4 linked regions of the Drosophila melanogaster genome follow. The gene in region 1 interacts genetically with each later gene. Each region holds a gene or a part of one and is shown on either strand. Other genes may lie near its edges.

Region 1 (5,490 bases):
CGAGCATGTGTATATATGCGATATATATCTGCCGAGCGTTCAAAAAGGGCGGGAAAATGCGACGAGCAGGGCGCGCAAACAACAAGTTTTTATAGTTCTTTGAAAGCGACTGTTTGGGTTTGGGTATAGTCTTTGGCTCCACGAATGGAATGGGGGCATTTATCGGGGGACGGGCCGACTTTCGTCGCCACCTGCAGCTGCATTATGCAAATGTCGCGAATTGCGTAGCAAACGAAATAATCTTTCTCTTTCTTTTTTGCTTTTTTTTTCAATAATTTATTCCGGTTCCGCGGCAGTGCAAAGTTGAAGCTCGCAAGAGCGTTGTTGTTTTGCTTTTTATATGCGCTCACAACTGAAGGGCATTTTTAAAAACAACTTTTAGCCACGTTTTCCCAATATCCGATATGATGCTCAGATTATGCTCCACATATTTGTAGATTCGTTTAGAGTTTAGACTAAACTGAAACCATAAACCAGTTTCGCAGCTTTTGTCATCTTTTCGATGAGTTCCGATCAATTATGATGATGATACTACTCGCGAACTGGTGACCAATAACAGCTCAAAAAACAATCTCAGCGAGCTAAAAACAAAAGTTACTCCTTATCATTCGGAGAGAATCAAAACGTATTTACAGATATTTTATCGAAAAGTATTTGTTGCCAAGCAGATTGTAAATATACTTAGTTAAGAAACAGCCAAATTGAATTTAATGGAATGACAACATATTTATAAAATAAGGATTACAGAGATTTTAACTTTATCGAATTGAATTGAATTGCTCATAATTGCGGGAAATATTTTTGAATGTCACTGGCATTACTCACTACCACATTGATTGCTATAAAAGCTGGGAAATTTAGTACTTTCTCAAGACATTCCCAACTGCTCAAGTATTACTTATTAACTCCTACCCTTCTTCAAAACCTCATTAGTTTCCACCATTAGCTAATTTAACCTTATCGATTTCTCTTTTAGGCGGAGAAAAGAATGGCTCAATTAAATCGATTGAGGTAATTCCTTATTGAGAAACCATACCTTAGCTGTATCCAATGCATAACTTTTAACGCAGATTTCTCTTTAATTCTAATTTATCATTTTGATTTGTTTGCCCGGGGATTCTTGGAACTAACGTTTGAGTTAAAATATTTTGCAAAGAAAATACTCAAGTGTTGGTTGGTTGTTGTCGACGTGTTAATTCCAGCTAAATGCTTACTCATTTTATATATCGTAACTTCATATTTATTTTATGTGCGAAAACTTCGCTTAGTGATATACTCAGAAAGTTTAGTCTTTTACTTTACTTTAAGGCAAATCGTTAAATTATTTGCGAAATAAACATATTGAGTAATCATGTTATTTCTTGAAAACTTGTGACTTGAAAGGCGTTTAGAACGTCTGAAAAGTTCAGAATCAGCTATTCAAGTTGTATATGTATCCTTGTACGGATAAAAATGTACCCATAGTTTGCTTATCAATATCCAAATGAGATACCCCCATTCTCATTCAAATGAGTCCCACTTCGTGACCATCTCTATATCTCTGTAGAACCCTATGCGATGACTAATCCAAGCAGATATCGGAAGTGTAAGGCCCATTATGGCTAAAACGCGATGCAGGAGCAAAGAGATTTAAATGCGGCTCACACTTTTGGACGAGCCGGCAATTGCGGCCATAAAAAGGCCGAGCACGCCTCAAACTAAACAAAGGTAGATATTACTTTACTTTTTGGGAGGGACTGGACTTTTTTTTAGGGGGTAGGCAATCAAAGGGAGGGGTGCTGTTGGGCAAAGCGGAAATATTCCCACGAATCGATAATGACATTTAATAATTATTTAATATATTGCGGCCGATAAAAATGGTGGTCATTTACCACAGGAAAAAACAGCTGTATATTTAATCGATAAGAACAGATAAACAAATACTATAATTTGTAAAGTCACATTTATTCATGTTGAATACAAATGAATTATAATTTTGTTAATTTTTTGATAAGAACAGATAAACAATACTATACTTTGTAAAGCCCCACTTATTCACGTTGAATACAAATTAATTATAATTTTGTTAATTTACGAACATAAAACTTTAAAAATAATGGTATTTAATGAAATATATCTTTGGCTTGTTAAGCACAATTAAAGGTCTCAAAATAAAATGTTATAATTTTATGGAATTATTATTATATTGGTCAGCATATTTCGAAACAAAAAGTAAGTTATTTTTTCTTTCCGTGCCAATTTTTGAGTGTGAATGGCCCATTTGTTCTCTCGTTGTTCCTTCTTCTCCCCACTTATCCTTCCATATCTCTCTCCCATTATCATTCTCCCCTCGACACGGGGAGACACTCCTGGGAAACCCTTATCAGCAGTTTTTTTTATAGCCACTCGCGTTCCTTGGAATTTTTGAATAATTTCGATGTTTGTTTATTTATCGCGCGGCGCAACCGCAACAGTTGAAAAGAAAACTAAGAGGGAGGGGGAAAGCGATTTGCAGAAACGTGTGTGAAGCAAAGAGGCGGCAAAAACAAAACGAACTGCAAAGAGGGGGCGGGCGAGGGCGTAACTTACATTCTCTCTCGTTCGCCGCTAACTCCGATTGGATCTCTTGCTCTCTCTGTCGCTCTTGTGCTATGCAAATTGGATTCTTGCTTGATTAAAATCTCATATAGAAGAATTAAGTTTTTGGCGCTTTTTATTTGTTGTTATTGTTATGACCTTTTGCGTTATTTTTTTGTGTTTTTTGCGTCGCTTAATAAAACCAGATTTGATTTTGAGTTGTTTGCGAGCCGAGAGTTGTTAAATCCAAAAATCGGTTTGCTGGGGGATTATTTTAACAACTGATTGTTTTTTTTGTGTTATTTCTACTCGCTCTTACACACACACACACAGCCGCACGCGCACGCACACTTCGAGAGGTTTATTGTTTTAACGCAAAACTGCGACGTTGTTTTTTTTTTATTTTGCGCTCTCAGCTGGTTGGCACTTTTTGCGCTATTTTTTTGGTTACCGCATGAAAAGTGAAAAACTTTCGTTGCGCCTTTGACCTCTTTTCACACAGACACACGCACACACACACTGCTAGGCGGACGAGTGTGCCTCTAATTGGGTGTCCAATTGGGATTACAGCACGCAGCAAAAGCGGCGGCGTCGGCCGATTCTATATTGCATTTCCTTGATTTCTATATATTCTTTGCCCCGATTTTTTGGCTTTTGTTTTTCGCACACCAATGGAAAAGCTCACCAACACACGGACACACGCGCGCACACACACTGACACGCGGGACTGTGGATTTTTGCGGGCAACGGGACTTCTACTGTTGTGCACACTCACTCCGCAGCAATCTCGTATTCTTATTTTCGTTTATTTCGCGTTTTTTATGCCCCTATTTTGCTCTGCTGCACTCTCTCACTCGCACAGAGAACAACTTATTATTGCTGCTGCTGCTGCCTTGCTTCTTCTTCTTCGCTCATCTTCGTCGCTGTGATGGCTCTTCACTTTTTCGCTTTGTTCTGTGGTTTTTCCGCTTTTCCTCGCACGCCGTTTTAATCGCGTGTTAGTCGTGCACTTGTACAGCAATTGCGCGTCGCCTTTTTCAACGTTTTTTCCACGTTTGTTTTGTTATTTTTCCACTTTTTCTCATATTTTCCTCTGCTTCTTCGATATCAGGAGGTGTATTGGTATGAACCTATCGGGGCCATCGTTCTCCGATACTAGGAAGATATCGGCTATCGAGTTTGAAATTGGCAGCCATGCAGTGTGGCCAGAATTTGGTTGAGACAAAATACATTGCTGAACAGCGAACAGGTGATGTGTGGGAATTTCCACCAGATATTTAAAGCCAGGGCTGTCATTTCTACTTTATTTAAATGCACGTATATGATATTCAAGTCATTTTTTAAGTGCATCATATTAAATAAAAAATACAGCTAAGAGCGTAACAACTAATCAAAGTTTACTTTTTACTGATGAAAGATAAAGTGGGCTAAACCAATATGATATGTAACATAAGTTAATTATCAATTGTCAGTATTAATCAGATTACTGCATTTGTATGTAAGGTATATATATTTACAGAATAAACAGAACGTTTGTTTTTTTAAAGGGAAATATATTTTTGAAAATATTATATCTTGGGTTTCGATGTTAATCGCCGTGCAATCGGTTCGAGTCCTCACTTTTAGTCGCTTGGTAAGGTGTCTTGTCATTTAGTCCAATATATGGTATGGTGTCTCCGCTAATTTAGATTCGCAACGGAATTTTAAAAATAAATATTGATTTGATATAATTAAATAGTAATTATATAATTTACATTTATTATATGTGTTGTATTCCATGGAAATAAATAACTTACATTAAAAAGGCATACACAAATTTTATTATTAATATGCTGTCTCAAACTCTCCGTTTTGTTGACTTTGACAAAGCAAATTGTGTGGTTGCATTAGTTATTCTGCAAGCGTAATTAATGTATATTAAATTCAAAAGTTCTTAATCCATCATATTAAATGAGCGGAGCAATCATATAAAATGAAATGCAATTTAATATGCCCATTAGAAGCTAAGATAAATCATCAAAAATGATTTGGATTTCGTTTTTGGGCGCTTAAATTGCATCAACCAACACATTCAAATGGGCTTTTGCGTTCGCGTGTGTGCGTGCGGGTGTCTGTTGTGTGTGTGTGTAAACGTCTGTTTCCCTTTCCGTTAACATTTTGTGTCTGGTTTCCGGCATTTTGTGTGCGCCATTTAAAATTGTTTTCCACGATACGAATCTGCCAAACGCTCTCTTTTTCTCTTTCGTTCCCGCGAATGGAGAAAATTTTTCTTCTCGCAGACACTTGAAGCAGGAATTGGTAGCAAATTGGCGGCCTCGGGGTTACGAAGACATTTAAGGGCCGACAAGGAAATGGAGAAATAAAAATGAGGGCCAAGAATAAGGCCGAGAAGTTGGAAGAAGTAGGAGGTACTAGGTAAATTGTGTGCAAGCGATAGAAATCTCTCAGAACATTTCCTGTTTTTTTTCTTTCATTCCTATTCAAAATATTTGCCCCTTTTTTGCCTTTTTCCTTGTTCCTTAAACTTCTCTGTTACCATTCGTTTCGTGCATTTATTCCAAATTCTTTCATAAATATTTGCGCCCTTTGTGCGCTTAATTCATTCATCAAACTGTCAAATGAATGTCAAAACTAATAGAGCGCCCACTAGCCCACTTCCTCCCATAAAAAACAGCCACGAAAAGGTGCTCAATTATTGAAATGAATTAGTGGGCGCCAGTGGGTGGGCTTAAGCCGATTTCTCCTCTGCCTTTACTAGGGCTTTTTGTCCAAACATTTTCCTACAGCACGTTTTATGGCATAAAGAGTGGGTAAGCTCTTCCAATGAGCTTGGACACTTAATTGAAGTTAATTTCGATTTAGGGGTTCTCAGGAACAATTCGAAGCATTGGATTCGAGGAAATAATATATTGGTAGTCATATTTTATTTAATTA
Region 2 (8,676 bases), on another chromosome or scaffold:
TTTCGACAATCATTATCTCGTTACACTCGTGCACTTTTGGCTTGCAAGCAAACGCGTTACAGCCAACCTGTCGTATGAGCGATATTTATATGTTTATAGCTTCGCAAATGAAGGTGTTTTTATTGGTTTCTCAGTATATCGAAATTCTATTCTAACTTTTTATTGGGGAATTTTTTAAGTTTTTTTTAACCGTTTCTTGTTTAGATTTCTGATTTTATCTCAAGAGCAAGAAAAAGCGGTTTGCCAAATATTAATATTTAAGCAACTATTCACGCAAGATAAAGTTAATAGAAACGACATTCTTTATTACCTTAACTATAGTTAGGCAAATTGCCCTTTTTTTGCTTATTATTATTTTAAAATTAATAACTTGAAAAACTATTTTTATTGATGAAGCAATAATAACTTAAAATTAACAGCTTTGGTTATGGTGTTTATAGTTTGAATTAATATATGAAATTTTAAAGTTGGGTTTAAATTATTGTGATACATTTTGAATTGAATTGAATTGAATTGAATTGACCGTAGTACAAGCAAAACTTCAAATGGAAATCGATCTTAATTTCTTTCTGTGTAGGCGGTGTGTATTTTGGTATGCAAGTCCGTTTTAACAGCCAAAACACAAGCCGCATATTTCAGCCAATTTATGGTCGGGCTCTCAACGGCTATTGTGCTGACCGCAGGTGTACTCAGTACATATGTATGTACATATGTACATATGTATGTATATATGTATATAAGTGTATTAGAAGTGTAATATGGGAACCGCATTTGCAATTCCTTTCTGCGGCCACCGGGCAAACTTCATTAGCCAGTGATGTCAGCTGGCGCGCGGAGGTAATGCGGATTTGGACAGTGAGTCAGTCCACGAGGTCGGTGGTTCAGACAGTCCGGCATTTGGGGTCCACAAGGGGGAGGGGTGAGGTGGGTGCTGGGTGATGGGTGGTGGGTGGCGAAGGGGCTTGGAGGCGTTTGAGGGTTCGTGCGACGTCGTAATTAATGGCAATTATTATGTCACTCAAAGGGAAGTCGATTGAAAAAGCAGCCTAAATAATGCAAATGGAATTGGAAATTATAATTCACAGAGGGAAAGTAAACGGGGGCACAGTCATTGCACTAATTAACTATTTATTGAGAGCCCGTTGCAGGCTTCAAATAATCTCGAGTCTGTTTTTAAGGCTTTAAGGTTTTTACGCCTCAAACTTTCCGGCTAGTTTTCTCGCGATGACGTCATGGCCAGCTCATGTAGCCAATAGTTATTCGGCTGTAAAGTAATTAGCCGCGAACATCATTTAGGCTAATTGTTTTTTGCACTTATGTGAGCAGGCTGTTTTTAGTGGTAGCGAAATAAAAAAAAGAGCAACAATTTTTTTCTGTGACCAAAGTTTCTAGTTTTTAGGCGCGCTAAAATCTGCGGTTCTATAAACTATTATGAAAAAGTAATTATTTTGCGATTGCTAATTGTTAGTTTTTAGTGCTACTGAACACCTCTTTTTGTTGAATTAATAGAATAACAATACAATTAGTGATTCATTAAACGGCCAACAATGGACTTGGAATTAATTTCGGTTACAAATGGAAAATAGAGATATGAAGTTGAAATAATTTACATACTTGTAGATGAATAAATAAAACCGAGGAAAATTGATTTACAACCTTCATCTAAGTATTAAAAACTTAAAAAAAAAACCATAACAAAATGAAGTTTTAAAAGTTCCCGCAGTTATAGCCAAGCTCCGCACCACGAGCTTAGCCAAGGTTTCAACCGGTGTGGTAGTGTGGAGCCTTATTGTTGCTGTAGCTTGTTGCTCATTCCGCAGCCAGGGTCACACTTTATCGAGCAGTTTTCTGTGAAACAGCCGATGTGTGACATCGATATCAAGCAAAACATCGAAACACATCGCCCCAAAACATCGCTGTTGGATGCATCGATGTTATTTTACATCACTAGGCGAGCGAGCCAGCAATAAGCGAACGATTTTTGCGCAAAAACGGTCTTTATCAATAAATCGCTGCGCACGATCGCATTGCCGTGGAAAACGCGTACATTGTCGTTCGAAAGCCGCCAAGCCAGCGTCTTTGCCGCCAAAAGAAACGCGTTTCGGTGCTGCAAATAGAAAAAAGAACGTAAGCAACGATAACAACAGGCAGTGAGAGCGAGCGAGAACGGGAGAGAGAGAGAGCGAGAGAGTGTTGTGTGTGTGCGTGCTGCCAACTTGTCGCACCAATTCGCTGCTGTGCTTAAGTGTGCGTGTGTGTTCTGTGGGGTTCTCCCAAAAAGAGCAAACAAATACGAAACCTTTGCGCGATGCCATTCGAAACGTATCTGAAGTTTTAGGGTTCGAACTTCGATTCGCTTACTCTGCTGCTTTATACATAAATATTTATTTGGTTGGACACCGCGACTTTTCAACAAGTTGCCAGCGCAGCGTGCAACGCGCGTACACACACACACACGCGCCCAGGAAGGAGTGAGAGAGAGAGAGAGTGAGCAACGGCAACAACAACAAAAGCCTCTCAGCAGCAACGTTTTTAGTGATGTCATCAGAAAGTAAGTTGATTTTTTCGCTGTGTGCTGTGTGTTTTTCTGTTTTTTTTGTTGCCTCTTGGCACACACACAAACGCACACGCACACAAGCGCGCGCAACGTTGTCATGACGTCATTCAACCGAAATACTCACGACTCGGTGTTGTTGTTATTGTTGCTGTTGTTGTTGTTTTCCTTTGGGGGAACTTGAGTTCCATCAGTCAGCAATCGGCACCACAGCCACAATATAATCATCGTCATCACAACGCACACTCGTCATCGGCCCAAAACAAAAACGAGCCCATGCCAATCCCGCCCAGAAACAGAAATTGAAACTTAAACTGAAACGGATTCCGATCTGAATCGGTATCACAAACTGGATGACAAATTGATAAACCGTAAAACTGACAGCGTAATCCAAAAGCAATCCAATCCAATCCAATTGTAGAAACGTCTTCAAGCTGGCCAAATTGAAGCGGAAACGGTAGCCAAACTGAAGCACTTGTCGGAGAGCGTCTCGGTGCTGCTGAAGATCGCCAGGATCGGCAACATGGACAACAGCATCGTCGAGGAGAACGGCAACTCGTCGGCGGCATCGGGCTCCAATGACGTGGTCGATGTCGTTGCCCAACAGGCGGCGGCAGCGGTGGGCGGCGGCGGTGGAGGAGGAGGAGGCGGCGGCGGTGGTAACCCCCAGCAGCAGCAACAGAACCCACAAAGTACAACGGCCGGCGGTCCAACGGGTGCGACGAACAACGCCCAGGGAGGCGGAGTGTCCTCCGTGCTGACCACCACCGCCAACTGCAACATACAATACCCCATCCAGACGCTGGCGCAGCACGGACTGCAGGTGAGCATTTGGGGACCGGGTGCTTGGTGTCAACTGTCGAGTGTCAGGTGTTACGGATCCCAGCCAGAAGTGGCTACCAAGGATGTTAGTGCAGAAGCACTTCAAAGCCTCCTTTGGTATGGGAACTGAGTGTAGATAGGGATAGTTATTACCGGAAATAAGGCAGCTTAGTGTTCTTTAACTAATAGCAAACAAACAAGTACAATACTGTTTATTATAAAGTTTTATAAAGTTTACTGCATAGATTATGCATCCATCATTTTTCAATCATTTCAATACGTTTCTTATTCTACATCCCTAAAATCGATTTCGTTTACCAATGTATATATTAAATGGGGTATGACTATATGGACTACATAATACATATAATAAATCTTTATAGTTAAGCTTCACAAAAATTGATATAGACCATATAGCTGTTATTAGGATGTCGACTACACTTACACATTCACAGGACTTTTAATTTTATTCATTAGAATATCGAGAATTTGCGGTGTTTGTTAGTTACACTACAGCCTACAAAACTTACTATGTCAGTCCCGTTGAGGCCAATAACCCTGACCGCGAGCGTTTCTAATGTAGTGACCTTCTATATCCGCAGGTGCAGTCCGTGATACAGGCCAATCCCTCGGGAGTCATACAGACAGCAGCTGGAACCCAGCAGCAGCAACAGGCGCTGGCCGCCGCCACAGCGATGCAGAAGGTGGTCTACGTGGCCAAGCCGCCGAACTCGACGGTCATCCACACGACGCCTGGCAATGCAGTGCAAGTGCGTAACAAAGTGCGTAGAACGGGGAGCACGGAGCACCCGCCGAACCGAACTCTACTAATGAACTCGATCACCTCGCACACAGATCCCTCCAACCTTTCCGTGTAAGATCAAGCCCGAACCGAACACGCAGCACCCGGAGGACAGCGACGAGAGTCTGTCGGACGACGATTCCCAGCACCACCGCAGCGAGCTGACGCGACGGCCGTCGTACAATAAGATCTTCACCGAGATCAGCGGTCCGGACATGAGCGGTAAATCCGGGGGACGATCTCTCCACCAGTCACACACCCACTCGAACACATCTCTGTCGCTCTTTAAACCACCACATCGCCTAACAATCCAATGCATCGTCGAGCTGATCGCCACTCATCGTTCATTTCACGATGCACTTGCGCCTGGCAATCTTTCGACCATTCCCAGCAACTCTCATAACGCTGGGGAATCGGTCAGTCCATCAGACACCATTCCATTCTCAGTGTTTGTAACCCCATGATCGATCACCTTTCCCGTTCATCTTGTACAGTAGCTGTTGGCTAAGTAACACTGTTAACACTCGTTGTAGTGCGCTTTAGCAAATGATCCATATCGAAATGATTAGACGAGAGGAATGTACTGTAAAATTATACTCTTGCCACAAAAAGTGCATTTACAATTTTATCAGAAAAGTCTAAGGTCCAAGTTGCTCACTGGATCCTTATGAAATCTATATTGTAAATATACAAAAGGAAAACATTTGCAACATTCATTACGTTGCTATTGTTTATAAAGCAATATATGGTTCTCCTAGTGCAATAAGATTCTCTAGCCAAAACCTTGCCCAGCTAAAAAGTAACGAAAATGTGGACAGAATAAAAAAAAAGCATTAAATATACATTTCCGAAGCTTTCCATTTGAAACTATTATTTTCAACCAGAACAGAATAGAGGGTTGTTTATTTTCTTACATAGTTTCTTAAAAATATAATGAAACAGAGGAAAGAGGTAGAAACTAATGGAACCCAGTTAGCTAACATTGTGTTTTTGTTTGGATCTCAACTGTATTTGTACATACAACACATAGATTGTGAAGGACTGCCAGCCTTGTCCTTTGTACATCATTAGGAATGCCATTTAGGGCAGCCGTACAAGCGGGAACCCCGCCCCTTTCCACCACCCCCATTATCATTTAGTTGATGTTGTTGTTGGTGTTGCTTTAACGAAGTGAAAATAATGAAAGAAAAACAAAAGGCCGGAAAACTTGGCCCGAGAAGGAGCAGAAAAAGAGGACGCGTTGTAGAGATTCCACGATTTTCCAATTCTCCCCTGTAAATAAACCTCTCACTCGCACACACACACACTCGCGCACAACTTCACCAACTCACACACACACTCACACATATGTACATAGACAGGGAGGGAAGACAGCAAGAATAATGATTAATATTTACAATAATTTAAGCATTTGAACTATTGCTGCTGTCTTCTTGCCCACAATTCTCTATCTCTCTCTCTATCGCCCTCCCCTCTCTCTCTCTTTCGCCGCCTCTCTGTCGTTGTTGTTGCTGTAATCGCTGTTGTTGTTGTTGTTGCCGTTGTTACACACACAACCCATTATGCCAAATATTAAATAGTAATGAAGAAGTACAAGCAAACGTCTCACCTAACAGTACTTTAACCGTTAATCAAAAGCTTTTCTCCACTCTCTTTGACTAACCAATCTACCTATCTCGCTCGCTCGCTCGCCGTTCTCGCTCGCACACACCACTCAAGTTCATAAACCAACCAACAAAAAAAAACCAATCCGAATTTTCAAAAGCTTCCAATTGAAAACTGAAAAATGGAAAATATGTTTTCTTATAATTTTTTTATTGTTGTTTTTTTTTCATTGTTTTCTTTTCGAACGCCTTCCTCCACCCAACCCACAAAAATAAAAAAACGATATATAAAATTCGATAATGTTCTGAACAACAACTGCAACAACAACAACAACAAACGACAATCAAAACCCCAAACCGAACTCGAATCGGAATCGAACTCGAATCAAATCGAATCGAACCCCATCCCAGGCGCATCGCTTCCCATGTCCGACGGCGTGCTCAATTCCCAGCTGGCGGGGACCGGAGCGGGGGGCAATGCGGCGAACAGCTCCCTGATGCAATTGGATCCCACGTACTACCTGTCCAATCGGATGTCCTACAACACCAGTAATAGCCTCGCTCCAAAACTAGCCTTTAGTTGCGACTTGGCAGGACCACTCGTAAATCGAACTGGAATCGAGGGTCTATCAAATTGAAGTTATCGAGTTATCGAGCTGAATGTAGGCGATGAATCAGCGTCCATGGAACTGCTTCATCGCCTAACTGCAGCATATGGACTCAAATGATTGTAATTGATAACTTTGATAATGCTCCATTCCATGCTGGCATTATTTTCGTTTTTATTCAAATTGTTTAGTTGAACATGGATGGTGTGTTCAATCATTTTTGCATGCAATTTGTGTTGACATCGAAGTGAAACCAAATCCAAACCATCAATGACTATGAAATCCAGTTCAGTTCGAGTTACAGAGAGTTCCGCTTTGGGAGATGTGCACACACACATCGCTTACAGCCAGCTGAATGACTGATTATCCAATCCTTGAAAACTTTTTCCTTTTGCAGACAACAGCGGGATAGCGGAGGATCAGACCCGTAAGCGCGAGATCCGGCTGCAGAAGAACAGGGAGGCGGCGCGTGAGTGCCGGCGCAAGAAGAAGGAGTACATCAAGTGCCTGGAGAATCGAGTGGCGGTGCTAGAGAACCAAAACAAAGCGCTCATCGAGGAGCTGAAGTCGCTCAAGGAGCTCTACTGTCAGACCAAGAACGATTGAATGTGGGCGGGGCTCTGGCGCCGCCTGCGCCTCCGCCTCCAGTTACGGCTACGGTTACGGCTACGGCAACGGTTACGGTTACGGTTACGGCGATCACTGCGCTTCGCTCCGCTCTGTTCTATTCCGTTCTGTTCTGGACAACAATGGTGGATCGATCCTTGCCGCTGGCCGGTCGCATATCATGATTTCTATACGCATGGGATGCTGCATGTGGTAGCGTGTACATTAACTGTGGGGATCGTGTTGTTGTTGTTGTTGGGATGCAGACGGGCCGAACCGGACCAAACCTAATCGAACCGAACCGGATGGAAGGGACAGAGGGTCTATCTGCCGGACACACAATGTAATTATGTTTGTAATTTAAAGATGTAATATTATGTTTACGATTTAGTTTATGCCCTAGTTTACTCGCTAACTTAACGATACTGCAGTTTACCTACGAACATGTGTTTCCGTAACCTAAGACCTTTCACCACACCCCCCCGCATGCACACCTTACCTTACCTTACCTTACCTATTGTAATTAAATTTTTTGTTTTACCTAATTCGTAATCGATGCAGCAGAACGTGCGTGTCTAGCGAAAGTGTTTTTTCTTAGCGAATTGTTGTTGTGTGCCCATATGTCAGGATATAGTCAACCAGCAGGTTGCCCAATCCACCAGAGTCCTTTCTAGATGGGTTTTCTGGGCCTACCAAATTAAAATTGTTCAAAAGTCGCTAGTTTCACTTGATTTACATATGCGTGTGCGTGTAGTATGTATATATGCGTGTGTGCCGGCCAATGTGTATCTGTAGAATTAGTCTTAAATCGAATGGATGAATTGATTGTCTGGGATTTGGGCATGGAGTTAAATATTCAAACACTTTGTTACGTAATTTTAAACGAACCCTCTCCGCTCCCAAAGAACCTGGTTAAGCAGACAATTCTGCACGCTACCGTGAATCCAGTTCGGAATCGAAAGGGAACGATCTTGGCCGGAACACACGCGTGGCTACAGATTTATATATCTATATCTATATATCTATTTATATATATATATATATATATATATAGATGGCAAACACTCTCGTTATCTCTTGTGATCGACTCAGTTGTTGTTATGAAATGGTAGAAAAGAGACGAAGGGACGGACAAATACGATAAATTAATGATGAATTCGGGTACAGAGATCGAACTTTTTTATCTAGCATAGCGCAACGGAAACAATGTCGAAATGAAGCACCGGAAACGGAAATGAAACCATAAGAAAACCCTGTATTGTATATCGCTCTATTTTTGATGTCCGAATCCAAATTTCCGAGAAAAAAAAATGGAAAGCAGAGTAAACAAAAAGAAATCTAAAAAAAACCGAAACACAAGCAAAAACAAAAACGAAGGGCGAAGTTTGGAGGAGATCAGCTTTTTTTGGCCAAGTCAGAGAAGGGGGAACGCTGAAAAAAGGGCAAATGAAACCAACAAAAGTTGCATTCAACAAAGTAAATAAAAATATTTTTATTGTCATTGCATATTTCTTAAGCTAGTACTTTTAATAACTAAATCGTAAGCGCGGAAAAACAAAGTAAATGAAAACACAAACGATAGGCCACAGCCCAATACAAAAAAGGATTCATAATAAATCGCGTGCCGAAACTAAAAGGATGGCAAATACAAACGCAGGCGAAAAATCTGTAGAAATTACA
Region 3 (8,924 bases), on another chromosome or scaffold:
AAAGTTTTTCAATACGATTTCGGATAAGAAAACGACAAAGACCTCACCTTGAGCCCTCCAGAGAGGAGAGAATGTGTGACCTCGCTGTAGTTGACACTCACGCCGGCGCCATTGGACGCTCGGCTCTCGATGTGCGTCATCACAGATGCTACAATCTCCTCATTGCCACGATCCTGCTCGGGATCTGCAGCTCCCACTGCTCCTCCGTTGCTTCCGCCGTTTGCATCTGCATTGAGGGCGGCAAAGAAGTCTGCGCTATAGTCCGCCGTAATTCCGCTCGGCAACTTTTCCTTCTCCTTGCGTCGCCCTCGGATTTTAAGCGATCGGCGCACCTCGTCCAGGCGGAGCAGCTCGTCGGTGCTCATGCTGCCGGTGACGCCAGTCACGCCTCCCATTCCCGGGCCACCAGAGGTGCCCTTAGCCTCTTTGCGCAGTTTTTTTTCGCGCTTGCGACGCTCCTTGTCCTCATCCCCAGCGCTCTTCTTCATAAAGTTGAACATCTTATGTGGTGTGTGGGGTCCTTAGGTGCTAGCTGCGGAAGGGGGGCGTTGGTGGGTTAATGCGAAGTTCAAGGGCGTGACCAAAAGTCTGGACTAATTCGATTTGCACTGTTCTCTTTGCTGCGCTCTATCCAGGGGTGGATCTAGACAAACGTGCAGGGCATACCGTTCATTTCCAAACTTGAAATTACAACTTACATTTTTAAAATCAGTAACACAATTTTAATTCACTGAATAGTTTAAAGTACGGTATTTATGTGATTTGATTTTACAAAAACATTTAAGGTGCCCATAATCCACGTTTAAGGTCCCCTGGATTTCGCCCCTGTACTGCTCAGTCCTGTTCTCTTCGTATTGCTATCTCGCTCTTACAATTGCACAGCCACTTCGAGCAATGCACCCGCCCGCACAACAACCGTTATCTTGCCACGGTGTTTGTGTGAATGTGCACATTTGCAAATCACATAAACAATGGCATATTTCTTCACTTTTGCACCCACATTTCTTCTGCTGCGGTGGCGGCTTTACTTTTGTCATTGAGTCGTTGCCATTTGCCCTGTTTCTGTTATTATTTATTATTCAATTATGCGCTTTCTTTTCCACAGCTAGCATACATTTGTTTTGTTTTCACACGGTAACACACACACACACAAAGAAAGGGGGGCTCGTGGCTGCGTTGGTATTGATTGCTCGAGACTGCACTCTTCCCTTCTCTCTACACCATCTCTTCATATTTTTCATTTCTCCAACTAATTGAATGCAACCGATTCTGCCTCATTACTTATGCTCATGCTTTTCCAATTGCTCATATTCGGCGAACGCTCTTATTCGGCCACAGCCCACAGTGATACACACGATAGGCAGAAAAAGAAAGTTGAGAGTCAATAACACCTTTGTTTTTGCACTTTTCTACGCCTTTTTTGATAACACACACAAACATTGGGAGGGACTCACGCACACACAGTCGCGCTGGAGTCGTTATTTGTTTATTTGAAAGTGGCATGCTATGTTCTCCCTTCCGATTGGGTTGCAAGTTATTTACCTCGTTTTGTGCCAATGGGGCACTTTATTCGCTACTCGTTTTTTGTTTTTTTTTCGGATTCAAAGGAGACTTCGCGTTCTGCATAAACAAATCTGAGCAAGAGTGCCCAAAGAGGTGAATATCAAATTTGATCTGGGAAACTGGAAAAGAGAACTGACTTTTTCTAGCTACTTACACATGGTCATACTTATCAGAGTATCTACTTAGTGCGGACAGGAACCATATATAAAATTGATAGGGCTTCCAAATTTTTGATCAATTATGCTTTGAAAAGTTATAACAATTTGTCGATATAAGAAATAGTTTTGTATACATAGCATATAAAATAAAGTTTTTAAAAATGAATTTAATAACAATACAGCATTATTATTAATCTGCAGTTCATACATTCAAATTTGAAGTGAATTCTAGTTAAAGAGTCGGCCTAGACAGTCAGAAAACAGAACTATTGCCTTCTAAAACATTTAATTTAAATTTAAGGGATATTTGCGCGTTGTACAGCTCTTAAATAATGTCTCTCTCTGGCATCTTTCCACCGTAACAGTCGCCTAACTATCGCTAAAACAGGTGGCAACGCGGATCGAATCAGTTATCGAGCCAGTTATCGAAAAAAAGTGAAGCGTAAAAACTAAACGGTACTTGGAAAATTTACTTTGCCTGTGTGCGTGCTTCTGTTTATGAAAACTACGTTTTTAAGCATTTGCAATTGATGCAACGTTGCTTTGGAAGGCAAGAAAACACCAAGTGGAAACGCCCGGGTGGCGGAAATCGACTTCCAGTGCGCGAGTGCGAGATTGTGTGTGTTTCGTTCCGTCCTCTGGTGTCTGGCACCTTAACACAACAACAACTACAGCAGCAGCAGCAACAACAACAATAGCAAGCAGCAACAACAACACACGCACAATAATAAGAAGGCCTGTGACGTTGTCGCTGCCGTCACCATCTAAAGGAAAATACCAAAACGAGTAGGAAAACAAACCGCAGTGCAGTAGGGAAAGCAAAAGTCGGGTTTTTTTTTTTACAAAACTAGGTGGGTTCTTGTATTTTTCACCAGCATTTCCACAATTTCCATTTCCACGAAGTGATTTGACATGTTGCGCTGCTAGGTCGCCGCTGCCCACACACACTCGCACACTCGGTGGTTCACTCACTCAGCCACTCACACCCACACGGCCAGACAATCACACGCACACGGCCAGACACTCACACATACACTCACACTCATACACCTTTGTGGCAGACACGCGTACTGTCTGTCTCCCTCCCCCTCGCACCCACAGTCTGGCCTCACTCGCACTTTGCAATGCAGCCCTGTCTGTGTGACTGCCTCGGTGTGCGAGCGCCTGTCCGCTTATGCCTGTGTGTGTATTTTGTCGATTTTTATTTTATGTACATTTGTTTACAGTTTTAGATAGATAGCGACATTTGTACAGCCGGCGGCCATCCGTCGTTGACATTTTCGCAAATTGTAAATGAATATGCTTTTGCTTTTGCAGTTGTGCCAGTGTGAGTGCGAGTACGAGTGCGAGTGCCGCCTGCGAGTCCCCTGTATGTGTACATATGTATATGTATGTATTATATATGCATATACATAAGTTCATGAACAGTCGCCGCCGTCGACTTGTTTTGATTTAATTTCGCGCTAAATGCAATCGCGAACAATTTTCACTCGTATCGCCGTGTCGCTGCGTAACATGGCGGGGAATTTCGTTTGAAGCCGAAAGTGGCAGCAACAACAAGGCGACGATGGCGCCTACATCTGCATGTGGGCCAGTGACTAAGAATCCAATCCCATACCATGCCACACCATACCAACCCATCCAATTCGATACAATCAGAATCACAGTCCTCAATCCAATTCAATCCCTTTCTGGCGACGGAAATGCCGCAAATGTTTTGCACCAGCTGCTGACGCAAGCGCCAACTGCATTTGTCATAAACATGCAAAATGACAATAACAATTGTTTACTATCAGCGTGAGATAGGCGATGTGGGAAGTATATATCTGGATAGACTTGGCAGCCTTTTAGTGTCTGTTTCCCCTTTTTTGATAGCTAGCTCATTTGGGAACTCCATTTGTCCACTTTGACTAGTTTATGTCGACAGTTGGCGGATCAGTTAATATCTAGTACATGTTGAATCCCTGAAGGTAAAGGTGTTACTAGACGAACCCTCTGCTAAAGCCTTTTTCTTTTCGTCGATCGCATTCTTAGTTTAAGTATTTCAAACTCAGCATGAATATAAAGGATTCACTGTACTCCTCTTACAGGTCCCTCATTAGCTTGTCCCTAGGGTTAGTGAAACAGCCTCAACACGAATTACCTACCGTTTGTTCTTCAGCGGCGATCGACTGTGGTTGCCAGCGCCCCAGCGCCAGGATCTGCCTCTAGGATCCCGGAATCGCCCACCACCACAGGGAGCAACATCATTAACATCATCTACAGCCAATCCACCCATCCAAACAGCAGCCCCACCAGCGGCAGTGCAGAGAAATTCAGCTGGCAGCAATCCTGGCCAAGCAGGACCTCCGCGGCCCCTACACACGATTCCGGAACCATGTCAATAAACACAACTTTCGACCTCAGCTCGCCCAGCGTTACATCGGGTCATGCGCTTACGGAACAGACTCAGGTCGTAAAGGAGGGGTGGCTGATGAAGAGGGGCGAGCACATAAAGAACTGGCGCCAGCGCTACTTCGTGCTCCACTCCGATGGAAGACTGATGGGTTACCGCAGCAAGCCGGCAGATAGTGCCAGCACGCCATCGGACTTCCTGCTCAACAACTTTACGGTGCGCGGCTGCCAGATCATGACCGTCGATCGGCCCAAGCCATTCACCTTCATCATCCGCGGCCTGCAATGGACCACGGTAATCGAAAGGACATTTGCCGTCGAATCAGAATTAGAGCGCCAGCAGTGGACGGAGGCCATTCGCAACGTATCCAGCCGGCTCATAGATGTGGGTGAGGTGGCTATGACGCCATCTGAACAGACAGACATGACAGACGTGGACATGGCCACCATTGCCGAGGACGAGCTTTCCGAGCAGTTCTCCGTACAGGGAACGACTTGTAATAGCAGCGGCGTTAAGAAAGTGGTAAGTACCACTCACCTGGTCATTGACCAAGGGCGTGATCGAGCTGACTCCATCTTATCTCCTTGTAGACTTTGGAGAATTTTGAGTTCCTCAAGGTGCTCGGCAAGGGCACCTTTGGTAAGGTTATTTTGTGTCGCGAGAAGGCTACCGCCAAGCTGTACGCGATCAAAATTCTTAAAAAGGAAGTTATTATCCAAAAGGACGAGGTGGCCCATACCCTGACCGAGAGTCGTGTGCTCAAGTCCACAAATCATCCGTTCCTCATTGTAAGTATTGCTAGTAATATATAATTTACGTTAAAAAACTAATATATGTCTTCCCTGTTTTGCAGTCACTCAAATATTCGTTTCAAACCAACGACCGCCTGTGTTTTGTGATGCAGTACGTGAACGGTGGCGAGCTCTTTTGGCATTTAAGCCACGAACGCATATTTACTGAGGATCGAACACGTTTCTATGGGGCAGAGATCATTTCTGCTCTGGGCTATCTGCATTCACAGGGCATAATTTATCGCGACTTAAAGCTGGAAAATCTTTTGCTGGACAAAGATGGTCACATAAAGGTCGCAGACTTCGGTCTGTGCAAGGAGGACATCACCTACGGCCGCACAACGAAAACCTTCTGCGGTACACCGGAATACCTAGCTCCGGAAGTATTAGATGACAATGATTATGGCCAAGCGGTGGACTGGTGGGGCACTGGCGTGGTCATGTACGAGATGGTGAGTTTGTTGCATCTGCAAATACTATTAACAAGTATTAAAAACAAAAATAATTCCTTACAGATCTGTGGTCGTCTTCCGTTTTACAATCGTGATCATGATGTGCTCTTTACATTGATTTTGGTGGAGGAGGTAAAATTCCCGCGTAATATCACAGATGAGGCGAAAAATCTGTTAGCAGGCCTTCTAGCTAAGGATCCCAAAAAGCGTTTGGGAGGTGGAAAGGATGATGTCAAGGAGATACAAGCACATCCATTCTTTGCGAGTATTAACTGGACAGATCTAGTGTTGAAAAAAGTAGGGCACAGTAAATCTGTCAGTTACCTATTCGTATATATTAATCGAATTTAAAATGCTTACCGTAGATACCGCCGCCTTTCAAGCCTCAGGTGACATCCGATACGGATACAAGGTACTTCGACAAGGAGTTTACGGGAGAGAGTGTGGAGTTGACGCCGCCGGATCCCACTGGCCCGTTGGGCTCCATAGCCGAAGAGCCGCTTTTCCCGCAGGTAAGATCTAGTTGAAAACATTTAAAGTGGGGTTCTGTATGCTCATCCAATTTTTGGTTTCACCGCCACAGTTCAGCTACCAAGGAGACATGGCCTCCACGTTGGGCACCTCGTCGCACATTAGTACTTCCACAAGTCTCGCATCGATGCAATAGAACAAGTTTACAAACTTTTACCAGCACACATCATGTTCTGCTTCATCACCTATTACTATACTATACCTATAACACATAGAAATGGGCAAAAGAAAACAACAGCAAGAATATATTAAATATTAATTATACCATGATAACGAAGGCAAGCAAAGGGTTTTCTTGCTAGTTTATATACACCAATAATAAGAGAATTGAATTGATAGTAACTTATTTTTGTATAATGAGAAAGGGAACGTTGAACGAAAGGGCAACAGCCGAAGCCGAGGAAAATAATTTACTACATATGATTATACACATATATATAAATATATATATATATATATATATAATTATATATACAACTAAATATAACACTTGGGGCATAGCGCTTGAAGTGATTAGTTAATTTTAAACGCAAGGAAAACATTTAACCAAGCGACTTAGAGCGACTTAGTGCTAGGATAAAGCATGCATCATCGGATCGCATCCTCTAGGGGTCGCTTAAGCTGATTGATTATACAGATTATTCACGCAGACAGCACTCACACAGCCACTTAGCATATAGCGAACATGAAGTTTAGTTAACTTGACAGCAACAAATCGAAATACACATATTCAACAACCGCCCCCACATGCAACACTCGTATATATAAATTATTTATACTCCAAAGAAGCAAAAAAGAAACAGAAACAATTACAAGTTATATATAATGTTAAAATTGCCTCTAATGTGCTGTGCTTTATGCAAAACTACAACAACAGAAACAAACAAACTAATAGTTAATAAACGAGGGAAACATACATCAATGCAGTTTATAGGCGCCAATAATTAGCAAGCAACTAAAAGTTATATTCAGGCAGAAACATATTTCGAAACAATAACGGCAACAGCAAAATGATTACAATTGACGCCATTTTTTATTATAATTTTTTACGAAAAATATATATTTGTAAATATTTATAAAAAAAAAGCAAAAACTCAAGAGTAAATGCAAAAAAAAAACAAAGGATGTATGTGTCGTGTGGAAAATGGAAGTCACCATTTGAGGCCACAGAAAAGGTTTAACCTTTGACACAATAAAAAATGTATCTTTGTCATTTCATTTTTGGCATTGAAAAGTTCATAACAAGTTTTGTATACTTAGAGCAAGTCAGCAAAAAATATATATAAATCAACCACAACAGACTTACAAATAGTTCCAAAAGGAAGATTAAAAATTATATAAACAGAAAAAAAACCTAAAAGAAAATAAAGAATTTTTGATATTTTTATATGCGCAATAAAAACAAAAATCAAGAATAAAACGAAACAAAAAGTTATTTTATATTTCGTAAAGAAAACAAAATAAATATTGTAAATAAAAATTATTAAATAAAATCAAGTTCGGGAATTTCAACTGAAAACAAAGAAATTGAAAGCATAATCTCTCTTCTAAATGTTAAACGAAACCTATCACTCGATGATTACAATAAACAGCAAATCGAAAACGAAGGGATATAGAAACGAAAAGAAAATGCCAAAGAAGCGGCGAAGTTAGGTGGAACTCGAGGAGAACCGAGAATTGAGGAGCCAGCAAGTCGGGATGTTTCGGTTGGAGTCTTGGACATGTGACGATGATGGTTCCAAATCATGACTAGGAACGAACTAACTAGCTAAAGCCAGCCTATGCTGAGGAGAGATATCAGATAGCTCCGATTGAACCAATCTTTATATCCTTGAACAGCTTAAAGTCCTTGCTTTCTGCTCACCAAGTTTGCGGCTGACATCTAGGCTAGCCAATATCAATCTCAGATCGATCAAGCAATACATAGACAAAATATAGAACCCCTAAGCATGGCTTAATAGACATACAACCCGAGAATCGACTTCAACAAGCCCAATAACCCTTCTGACAGACTCGTTAGGCAAGTCTGCCAGCCAAGGGGCAACCAGCTAGAAATCTAAAGCAAAGACTTAGAAATCGGTTAGGGACATCCGAAGCAAATTGAATACTAGCCTTAGTGAACGTCAACATCTCTGGTATCCCAAATCGAAGCATTTTCTACCCGTCGAAGGGGACGAAAGAGACCTTTCAAAATAGTTGTCTAAGTTTACTGAGTTGTGTGAGACAATTTTTGGTTTCGATTAAAAAAAAAAAAACAAAAACTTACACGAACTGCAAACTACAATGTGTTCTAAAGCGATATAATAAAACAACATGGTTTAAAATTGACTATATATAGAAAGAAACCGAGAGAGATATAACCAGTCAGATCATAGATCATCTCGAGCAACTTGAGTTGTTTTTTGTATTGTAAAATAGAAAAAGATAAACCCGTTCCAACAACCGAGATCCAGATCCAGATCCAGCCCCCAATACTAACCGAAAATTTGATTAGGAGTAATTTTTGATAGGCGAAAATGCGAGTTTCGCACAGTTTTAATTATTAATTATATTAAATAAAGATAATAATGACTAAGCTGATTTATAAAACGATTCAAGATCGAACTAAAACATACATATACATGCATTCAAACCAAGTTTATTATACAGTGAAAACATAATAATAAAACTACATAAAACCAAACTACTATGCAAAACTTTTTTATTTGGAATATGGGACACGTTTTGTATTTTTTTTCATATCCATCCTGCTGTAATGATTTAAATAATTATGCTTTTGAACTTTTACGTAAAAGTATCAGCAATAAAAATTCTTTGCACCTCGTCCTACAGCAAAATTGGGTCAAGAAAACTATGTAAAAACGAGGGAGCATCTGAAGTGGATGTGGAAATGGAGGAAGCGGAAAAAAAAACGCACTGGCCAAGCGCCAATGACCGACTTAAGTATTCGGGAGCAGCAGCTCGAATCCGAGGAGTGGGCAGGCCCGGGGTCCGACTTCCACCTTCGGATCCCCACGCCCGATCCCATCGCCGT
Region 4 (8,930 bases), on another chromosome or scaffold:
GAGCTATAGCTTAACGCTATTATTATCAATATACATATTGTATATGTCTGCGTATATGCGTACGAAACTTGGACTACTTAAGACTAGTAACACAACTAAATCATTCAATATTACTGCTTCGCCCGGTTCGGTAATGATTCTATCGGTTCCAATAAACGTGAATCGATGTAACTCCGATTCCGATTCCGACCCGCATTCATATCTATATAGGCTATTTATATGTATGTATGGGTGTATATCGTATATGGATCAAATAATTCATAATTGCGATTGCGAGCTTAATAAAAAGGTGGCCCCGGTCCCGGTCCAGCCCCCATTATAGTTCGATGTCCAGTCCTACCCCTTTTCCTTTCCCACCGACTTCCACTTACAAATCTACTCCCATTCGAATTGCCCCAACCCCTCCACCGAATAACATCACACACGGCCTCAGACTGACTCAAGGTGCTCCGATATCTCCAGGATGGGGCTCTCGCTGAGCGGCTTTACCAGCGACTGCCAATTGGGCGTGAAAAGGCTGAGCACCGGCGTCGATGTCTGCGGAGGACACAAGGAGAAAACGGATAAGGTTTATATACGAACTTGGGATGCCTGAGAAATCATCTTAATATGCGTTATCTAGCTTACTTACATGATAGTCGGAGTCCAGGCTGTGACCGTGGGGCGTGGTAGGCTTGCACTTGACCGTGGGCGTACCCGGCGCCGTGGACGGTGGAGCTGAGCATGATACCCCAGCAGCTGATCCTCCGGAACCAGCTCCATTAGGCGCCGCACCAGGCACCTGGTCCGATTGGCTGATGTAGGAAGTCTTGAGGTTCATCTGACTGAAGGCATGAGCTCCGGGCATGGTCATGGAGTGCTGAAGCCTAGGAGTTCCGCTCCTGGGCCGATCAAGCAAGGCCAACTCGTACAACTCGTCGGCCAGGTGATGTTCCGGAGCCGGAGCCGGCGGCGGTGGCGGACCCAGGCTGTGGCCAAAGTGGTGATGGTGGTGATGGCTGTGCTGCTGATGGTGGTGATGTCGACCGGCTAGCTGCGCCTCCAGTGCGTACTGCTTCTGGAACAACTGACGCTTCTGCTGAAGCAGGCGGTGCTGCAGTAGCTGCTGCTGCAGCGGTGGCTTTTGCATCGGGGACATGGGCACGGCCATACCCACGCCCAACTGATGGTGCGTGTATAGCCCTGGTGGCGGCGGTGGCGGAGCATAGCATCCATGACCATACATATCCCCACCAGCAGCGGCTTCCAGGAGCAGAGGTGTGGCTTGGTGGCCTGAATGGAACAGCGAATGATGGCCATGGTGATGCTGCGCAGGATGCGCATGATGATGGGGCAAAGTCAGCAGCGGATGATGCTTGCCCGGCAGAGCATAGAATTGACCATTTGGAAATTGACAGAGTTCTTCCAAGCCGTACGCTTGGGGATGAGGATGCGGATGCTGATGCGGATGTTGATGGGCATGTGGGTGTGAATGCCCCACAGCCGCCTCCTGCTGCAGCTGCTGCAGCTGCTGGATCTCCAGCCAACCGTGACGCTTGGCCTGCTCGTAGCGATAACTTCCGTACACACGACTGGTGCCCAGCAAGGAACCAGAGCTAAGCAGGCCCTGGGCCACCAGGCCATCACTCGCCCGTCTTCCTTCGCGAAAGTGTATGGGTGAACGCTTGTCCAGGAACGTGACACCACCGCCATTTGGCGGAGGCGTAGGATTCGGCGTGGGCGTGGAGGCTGAACTCTGAGGAAGGCCCAAGCCCAACGGCAGAGCTCCTGGCATATGGATGCAGGAGTTGTGGCTCCCGTACAGCGATCTTTCCGATGAATGCTCCGATGAGATTCCCGCTGGCGATGCCGAGGCCGGAGTGGGCGTGGCCAGCATCGAACTTGAGCCCATGCACGAGGGTAGACTGCCCTTGCCAGAAGGCAAGGCAAAGTCCAAGCTATCGTAGGGACCGCTGCAATTGCTCTTGGACGAGCCGCGGCTCAGGTTCTGGCTCAGACTTTTGGAGTAGCTACCAGCGCTCCCGGCGAGAACGCCACTGGACGAGCTACTACTGGCATACGAGCGCATCTTGTGACTCTGTCCAGAGGTAGTGGTTCCAACGAGCCGCGTCAGATCGCTGCTGGAGTGCGAGGTGGGTCCGCCGTTGGCGTTACCGCTACCGCCGCCATTGCTGCCCTTTGACTCCTGGGAAGCAGAGCCCGGATCGTTGCCCTGGTCTGTCTCGCAGCCCTCATCTGTGCTGGAGCTGCCTTGGGCCAGAACTTTCTTCTCCGAGCGGCTGCGGAAACGGAAGAAAACGACATTAGTCAAGAAACTATCGCTGTGACTGCAAGACTCACCTGTCGCCATTCGATTTCGCATCATTCGTTTCCTGGCCGGAGTCACCGCCGCTGCCATTGGTGCTGCCCACGTGCACACGACGCTTAGTCCTTTGCTGGAGAGGAAATGGAATTTGTCAGCTGGAAGCAATTATTAACTCACACGTATCACTCACCTCCACGGGCAGTGGGCTTTCCTGGAGAGTCTGGAAAAGCTTGCTGGCCTCGGCGGACATCTTGTAGCGAAAGCTTTGGCCCAAATTGGCCTTAGAATCGAAGCTGCTCGAGCTGGACATAGTCTTTATTGTCTTGCCGTTAATCTCACCAGGGCAGGGAGCCGATCCCGATTCCGGTCCCGCTGTACTGGATGTGGGTGTGGTAGAGGCGGGCGGAGGAACGCCTCCTACGCTTGATTCCGCCTTTGGCGGATCATCTTTACCCTCAGCCACTGCTGTGGACTGCCGAAAGTATAAGGATAGAAATAACTTGGGATAGAATCAGCCGAAAACTCACCTGCTGCAGCAGCGCACGACAGTCTTCGGTGCTCTGTTTGATGATGAACTCGCTGATGGTCTGATGAAGCTGCTTGGACGCTAGAGGCACACCCACTGCTCCAACGGGTCCTCCTCCAGCCTCCATCATCTCCCTGCACCGCAGGTTGGCCAGCGAGGGGTTGTTGTCGATGCTGAGCGAAATGGCCACCGGTCGATGGCTTCGCGGCGAGCTGGAGCTTAGACTGTGTCGTCCTACCCTCGAGGATGTGGATGAGCAGTTAGAGGGAGCGGGCGACGCGGCTGTCGGCAGCGGGGTGTACCGCATGGGCAGCGGAATGCCGCTGGCATCCACCTCGACGCCTCCTCCATTCAGATACCCAGTCAGGTGGGAGTGGCCCGTCAGAGGCAGTGGCAGTTGCAGTGGGCCATACTTGGCGTAGTATCCGGGACCGGGATCTGGAACTGTGGGTGTCGCGCCGGCGTGGGCGTTACGCTCACTCATGAGTACCGTCTGATGGCGGCTAAGTCTTTTGTGGCACTGATCCTTGGCCAGGATCGAGCTGGTGGATATTGTCTTGGACTGCTGCTGCGATTGTTGCTGCGTCGGTTGGTGGTCATTTCTGGAGCTGTAGATCATCCGACTGGCGGAGGTCGACGAGGCAAGGGCGCTGGCGCCTAAGCCGTTGCTCTGCTCCTTCTTGTGGCTAACTCGATCCTGCAGGAGCAGATATATGGCCGCGACATGGTCGTAAGTGTTCTTCTTAAGACTGGCTCGCGTCTTGTCCGACCCAATGCCGACATACTCGGCCATGATGCGAAGAATGTCCTCGCTGGGTTCCACGGACGTCTGCCGCTCGGCGCCCAGATTGTACTTGGCTATCAGGACGTGCTCCAGCAGCTCGGGGCACATCCAGCGATGGCGTTTGATTTGGTCGATGGTGTACCGCCTTGTGGGCTCCAGTACCAGCATCCGGCGAATGAGGTGCTCGCACTCGGAGCTCATAAAAAACGGAATGCGAAAGCGACCGGAAAGCACCCGATCCCGGAGGCTCTGCAGCGTGGATCCGTCGAAGGGCAGGGCCCCACATACCAGCACATAAAGCACGACGCCCAGTGACTGCAGGAAATTATACATTTTTGGATAAATTGACACGTATACTTCGCACCACTTACCCAAATATCAATCTCTGGACCCGTATATTGCTTTCCCTCGAAAACCTCGGGAGCTGCGTACGGCGGTGATCCGCACCAGGTGGCCAGTAATTCTCCCGGCTTGAAGTGATTGGAGAACCCGAAATCCGCTATTTTGATGTTCATGTTCAAATCCAGGAGCAGGTTCTCCGCCTTGAGATCCCGATGCACTATGCCCTTCTTGTGACAGTACTCCACCGCCGATATGATCTGCCAGAACTTAAAGCGCGCCGCCGACTCGGACATCCGCCCGTACTTGGCAATGTAATCTGGATAAAATATAAAGGTAAGTCCATCTCATTGAAACCCTTATCAACTTAAGAGAATGCGAGAGATTTAAAGCTAGTGTTGTTCGTCCAAAGGTCAACAAGTCTGTGCGCAATGTGGGTTCAAAAGTCTGCTAACTAAATCGAGTACTGTACTCTACAGTCCGAGTTTAAAAAATTTTTTTTAAAATGAAGCCTCAACCCACCGAAGATCTCTCCTTGGCTGGCATACTCCGACACTATGTAGATCATATTCTTGGTCTCCATAACCTGTGGGATTGGTAGAACGGGATTAGGAATACGATTCTTGGCAGGATCTGCCACAGCAAATTCTGCTGACCTGGTAGAGCTTAATGATGTGAGGGTGCTTCAGGCGCTTCATGATCTCCACTTCGCGGTAGACTTTCTGTAGGTTTGTCTGGTCCAGCTGCGACTTGTCAATGATCTTGATAGCCACCTCGTTCTTGGTGATTCGATGCCGGGCCAGCTTGACCACTGCAAAATTTCCCTTGCCAATGGTGCGCTCGATGTCGTAGAAGCCCACGCGCATGGGCTCCTTGAGTTTGAGCAGGTCCTTGCCACTGATACCGCCCGCGCCCACCGCAGAGGATGTGGGACTGGGACCGGGCGTGGAGCCACCCCCGCTGGCAAAGAGCTTCTGGGCGAGCAGTGCATCCTTGCAAGCCACTATTGCGTCTATCGAGGGCGAAGCAGCACCGGCATCCAGGAGCACTGAGCTCCGGAGGGCATCCAGTGGGGGGTGTGAACACGCTCCTTCTGCTCCTTTTGCTTCGGTTTTCCCGTTTTGGGGCAAATTCTCCGGCGGCTTATCCAGCTGCTTCTCGTTCCTCTCATGCTGCGGCTGCTTCTTCTTCTGATCCTCCGGCGGCTGGCTCTCCTCGGACTTGGCCTGGCTCCCATTCTCGCCAGCGGCCGCCGCCTCGCACGTGCTCATTTTCCAACTGCGCCACCCTGGGCGGGAAATCTCACACGGAGAGCGCGAGGCGGAGGGAGTGGGAGATCGCGATCGACAGCGAGATGGTGATGCACATGCTCACACACACCTCCTGTCTCATGACAGCGCTTCTGCGGGAATAGAAAAAGTAGAGTGGTATATTTTGGGTAGAATTACAATACAATAATGAACTGAAACTTTTTGAATGGATGTGCGACTAATGTTGTGTGTTCCCCATGTACATATATGTGCATAGAAAATATGTAAGTGCAATAAAGAACGGGATGACTCCGGAGAAGGGGTGGGCAGTCGTCGCTTGATAAGAGATTACCTCGGCTTTCCGAGTGTGTATGTGTATGGCTTTCGGACGCGGACTCCACAAGCCACCAAAGCTGCACTCTCCCTCTCTTTCTCAGGCAGTGTTGCCACAGTTCAATTGCAATGGTAAACTGGATTCACGTTTAAATTTAATCTATCACGATAATAATAGTGTTATTTCACTCGCATATCGCATATGCGCACCAGGTACAGACAAATATTTTAAAAACCATTAGCTGAGGTCCTCAAAGACATGCAGATCCATTTGTTAGTGCCCACCAAAAGGAAGACATTCAACGAAAATGGCTGACGCTGCACTTCCGCTTTCAAAATGGCTTTTTTTCCAGCCACAAAATGGCCGAGGTGCCAGCACTGACTGTGTGTGCGGCTGAAAGTGTGTGGGTGCCAGCGTGCGAGTGTATGTGTGTGGGTGAGTGTTGGTGAAAAATCAATAAGCAGAGCAACCGCATCGCATCGTGGAAATGCTCCGCGGTGCCAGTGGCCACTGTTGTTTCCTTCAGGATGCAGTGCAACCGATTCAGAACCACTGCCAGGAGATTTCCCCTTAAAGCTGCTCTCCCCAAAAATACCGTTATTGGTGAAAGCGTTAAAAGCACAAGCCTCGCCGGTTGACAAAGAAGTTTCGAGCAGGAGCGGTGGCAAAAACTGAGAATAGGCTACAGGCTGGGCCAGCTTAATCCGAATCCGGTTACTGGCTATGAGAGGATAAACGCTGGCGAGGATCCGCTTTACATCGCGTCCGCGGAGCGCCACACATGCGGCTCGGAACAGCACAGCACGGCACACACAGACACAGTCGCTGCGACACACACGGCAGATGGCTAGGAAACGTGGCTGCCTCCAATCCCGAGCTGCGTCCAACTGGCGTCCGTATTTGACGCAAGCTCGGCGCTGTCTGCCCCATTCCACCCACTCGCCCCTCAATTTCCGACCCTCACCAGCACACACATGAGGGTTGCCAAGTGAGCGCCAAGTGCCGAGCATCGAGCATGCGCCAACTTTTTCGCGAGGGTGGGAAGTTTGATGGAATTCATTTGAATTTCGCGCCCTTTGATCGTAAAACAGTATGCAATATAACCCGTTTCACCGATTCAGCTTTCAGATAGACAGTGACCGGTACAACTAACAGAAAGAGTTTGAACTATTTTCAAATTTTTTTCAGATATACTCAGATATACTTTTGCTACTGATTTGTATTGGGATGTTGCTCTTTTATATAAAATATCCACCACATTCTAGGTAAAAATGAAGTCCACATGTATTCCGGATATGACCACACATATATATTTCTTATATTCATATTCGCTGAAGGTCTTACATTAAATATTTTGTACAGTGGAACGGCTGCCGACGGCTTTCGGTCGGTCCTCTCTCTCTGTCTCTGAAACGTGTCATCTCGCTCGCTTCCAAGCGTGAGCCCAAACCGACGGGATCTGGGATCCGGTATCCGTCTTGCTGGCGCCATTCCCTAACGAAGTCAGTTAGTATATACACGGACCGATGCAACTTATGTACATGGAACAGATTTCACAAAAACAAGCTAAAAGCATTCATAGATTAAGGGTTTCTTCCACCCTAGAAATGCAAGCGTATGCCAAGAGTTTCACCTCGAGTGCTGATGGCTGTACGTTTGCATTTGCTAGGGATTGGTCTTGTTTGGATTATAGTGTTGCTTTCTGGGGCTAAATCTGGCCGGGATCTTGCTGAAGCGGCTGCTGCTGCTCTCCTTCCTCCTCTCCCTCCTCACCGTAGCAGCGCCGCTTAAAATCGCCAAAGAGATCTGCACGCGGCTGCAGACCTTGTTGAAGATGATCCATGCTCACCGTCTGCGTAGTGTTCCTGGAAGAGCAACAACTTAGTTATAGACTTTGAATAAGTATCCCTTTATCCTTACCCGGTTTTGGTGAGCACTGTACATCCGTGCTCTACCACCATGGTAAGTGAATAGAGCGTGGCCAGATTACTCATGCTATCGGTCTCATAAAGCTCTATATCCGGCAAACGGATCTGTGTCTGTTGCGAATCCTGCAAAAATCGGGCGATGCGCTCATTGACGCTCATCTTGATGCTGAATCCTGGACGCTCGCCATTGATGCGGCGACACCCTGCTCGTATCTCACGTACTTCCTGTCCCTGGGCGTGTCCAGGAGGCGACGAGGAAAGAAACGGATTAGAGGTTTCGCCGGACATCTCACTCTCGATTTGGCGGGAAGCCGGCATGGTGCCATCTGCATTTGTTTCCATCTCTGAGCAGGCATTCTGAATCTCGATAGGCTCGGAGACGCCGGCTGGTTGGAAGCGGGAAAGATCCTGAAGAGATTCTGGAAGTTGGACTGGAGACTTCGAAGGCGGTTCCATACCCACCGCTCCCGCTTCGGTGCCAGACATAAGAGTGTCATCTTCTCCAATTGTGTCATCCGAGCGAATTTGAGGCAGTAGTGATTTTTTTGTAAGCTTCCTTTTTGGATCGTATCTGGCTCCGGGTCCGAATTCGTTTCCCGGCCAGTCGGTGAGTTCATCGTCGCCCTCGCGATCGGTGTCGTGCCGTCGATGACCACCTACTTCCGCCTCGCTATCGGTGGACGAGCTCAGGGAACTAGAGCTTAAGAAGTCATAAAGTTCGCTACAATCCATTGACTGAGCTTGGAGCTGCAGCTGAGGCTGTGGAAACGTTTGGAAGCGGCGGCGACGTTCCGTTTTGGATGAGCTACTGCTGCTGTGTCCCGGCGCCTGCCCCTGCGCCTTTTTGCGCAGCAGCGGAGCAGCTGGTGGCGTACTCAATAACAAGGCATCAATATCGGTCACAGGCACAATGGTGTCCATGCTGATGGAGTTAAAATTGGCGGTCGTAAAATCAGCACTTGGCAAAGGTAGCTTCTGGACCGCGTCCTTTTGATCGGGCAGCTCCTCCATCTCCAGGCTCACTCCTTCGGGTCCTTCAGAACGATGACATTTCAAGTCCTTGTCCTTTGTCTCAGTCTTTTGGGTGTGCTTAGTCTGCTGTCCCTGGGCAGCCATTCGGTTGATCTTCGACAGCAGTCCCTTGTTCAGTGGAAGCAGGCGGTCACTGAGTGGCTTCGATGTGGAGGAGTAGCTGCGGGGGCGCATCCTCTGCTGCTGGTGCTGTGGTTGCTCTACGTGCTGGTCATCTACTTGTGAGTGTGGCAAGGCGTACAGCTTAACCGAATCCTGCTCATGGTAGCGATCACGGTTTGAGCGCTTGCGTTTGCCGCAGAAGAACAAATGCGAGCGATGTCCAGTGGCGTCAATTTTCAACAATCGCTTGCGTATGGTTCCAGTAGCAGAACCGCTGCTACTTAGCAGGCTGGGCTGCAGTGGCGATTCGGTGAAGGTGTGTGATGTATC

The links.
Region 2: of Crtc (region 1) and CrebB, changing one suppresses a phenotype caused by changing the other (phenotypic suppression), as found in Drosophila melanogaster (one study listed by BioGRID).
Region 3: of Crtc (region 1) and Akt, changing one enhances a phenotype caused by changing the other (phenotypic enhancement), as found in Drosophila melanogaster (one study listed by BioGRID).
Region 4: of Crtc (region 1) and Sik2, changing one suppresses a phenotype caused by changing the other (phenotypic suppression), as found in Drosophila melanogaster (one study listed by BioGRID).

Annotation. Positions count from the first base shown.
Region 1 is NT_037436.4:17,665,539-17,671,028, forward strand, and holds the start of Crtc (CREB-regulated transcription coactivator), read right to left. Parts: upstream 3,697-5,490; 5' UTR 2,569-3,696; intron 1-2,568.
Region 2 is NC_004354.4:18,369,056-18,377,731, forward strand, and holds CrebB (Cyclic-AMP response element binding protein B), read left to right. Parts: upstream 1-1,928; 5' UTR 1,929-2,127; exon of another isoform or gene 2,128-2,551; intron 2,552-2,975; 5' UTR 2,976-3,077; coding exon 3,078-3,377; intron 3,378-3,978; coding exon 3,979-4,158; intron 4,159-4,231; coding exon 4,232-4,400; coding exon of another isoform or gene 4,401-4,642; exon of another isoform or gene 4,643-5,041; intron 5,042-6,193; coding exon 6,194-6,331; intron 6,332-6,787; coding exon 6,788-6,996; 3' UTR 6,997-7,762; downstream 7,763-8,676. UniProt on the Drosophila melanogaster protein: Isoform E is a PKA-dependent transcriptional activator. Isoform J is a direct antagonist of activation by isoform E in cell culture.
Region 3 is NT_033777.3:16,097,089-16,106,012, forward strand, and holds Akt (Akt kinase), read left to right. Parts: upstream 1-2,139; 5' UTR 2,140-2,572; intron 2,573-3,671; exon of another isoform or gene 3,672-3,691; intron 3,692-3,811; 5' UTR 3,812-3,855; coding exon of another isoform or gene 3,856-4,098; coding exon 4,099-4,638; intron 4,639-4,706; coding exon 4,707-4,904; intron 4,905-4,969; coding exon 4,970-5,359; intron 5,360-5,422; coding exon 5,423-5,656; intron 5,657-5,724; coding exon 5,725-5,871; intron 5,872-5,942; coding exon 5,943-6,026; 3' UTR 6,027-8,582; downstream 8,583-8,924. Other genes in the region: Mhcl (myosin heavy chain-like), read right to left, coding at 48-500. UniProt on the Drosophila melanogaster protein: Serine/threonine kinase involved in various developmental processes. During early embryogenesis, acts as a survival protein. During mid-embryogenesis, phosphorylates and activates trh, a transcription factor required for tracheal cell fate determination.
Region 4 is NC_004354.4:2,055,489-2,064,418, forward strand, and holds the start of Sik2 (Salt-inducible kinase 2), read right to left. Parts: upstream 6,428-8,930; 5' UTR 6,134-6,427; intron 5,357-6,133; 5' UTR 5,226-5,356; coding exon 4,611-5,225; intron 4,541-4,610; coding exon 4,477-4,540; intron 4,274-4,476; coding exon 3,987-4,273; intron 3,931-3,986; coding exon 2,833-3,930; intron 2,778-2,832; coding exon 2,496-2,777; intron 2,436-2,495; coding exon 2,341-2,435; intron 2,280-2,340; coding exon 632-2,279; exon of another isoform or gene 623-631; intron 569-622; exon of another isoform or gene 538-568; coding exon 430-537; 3' UTR 1-429. Other genes in the region: CG4281 (uncharacterized protein), read right to left, coding at 7,247-7,403, 7,459-8,930.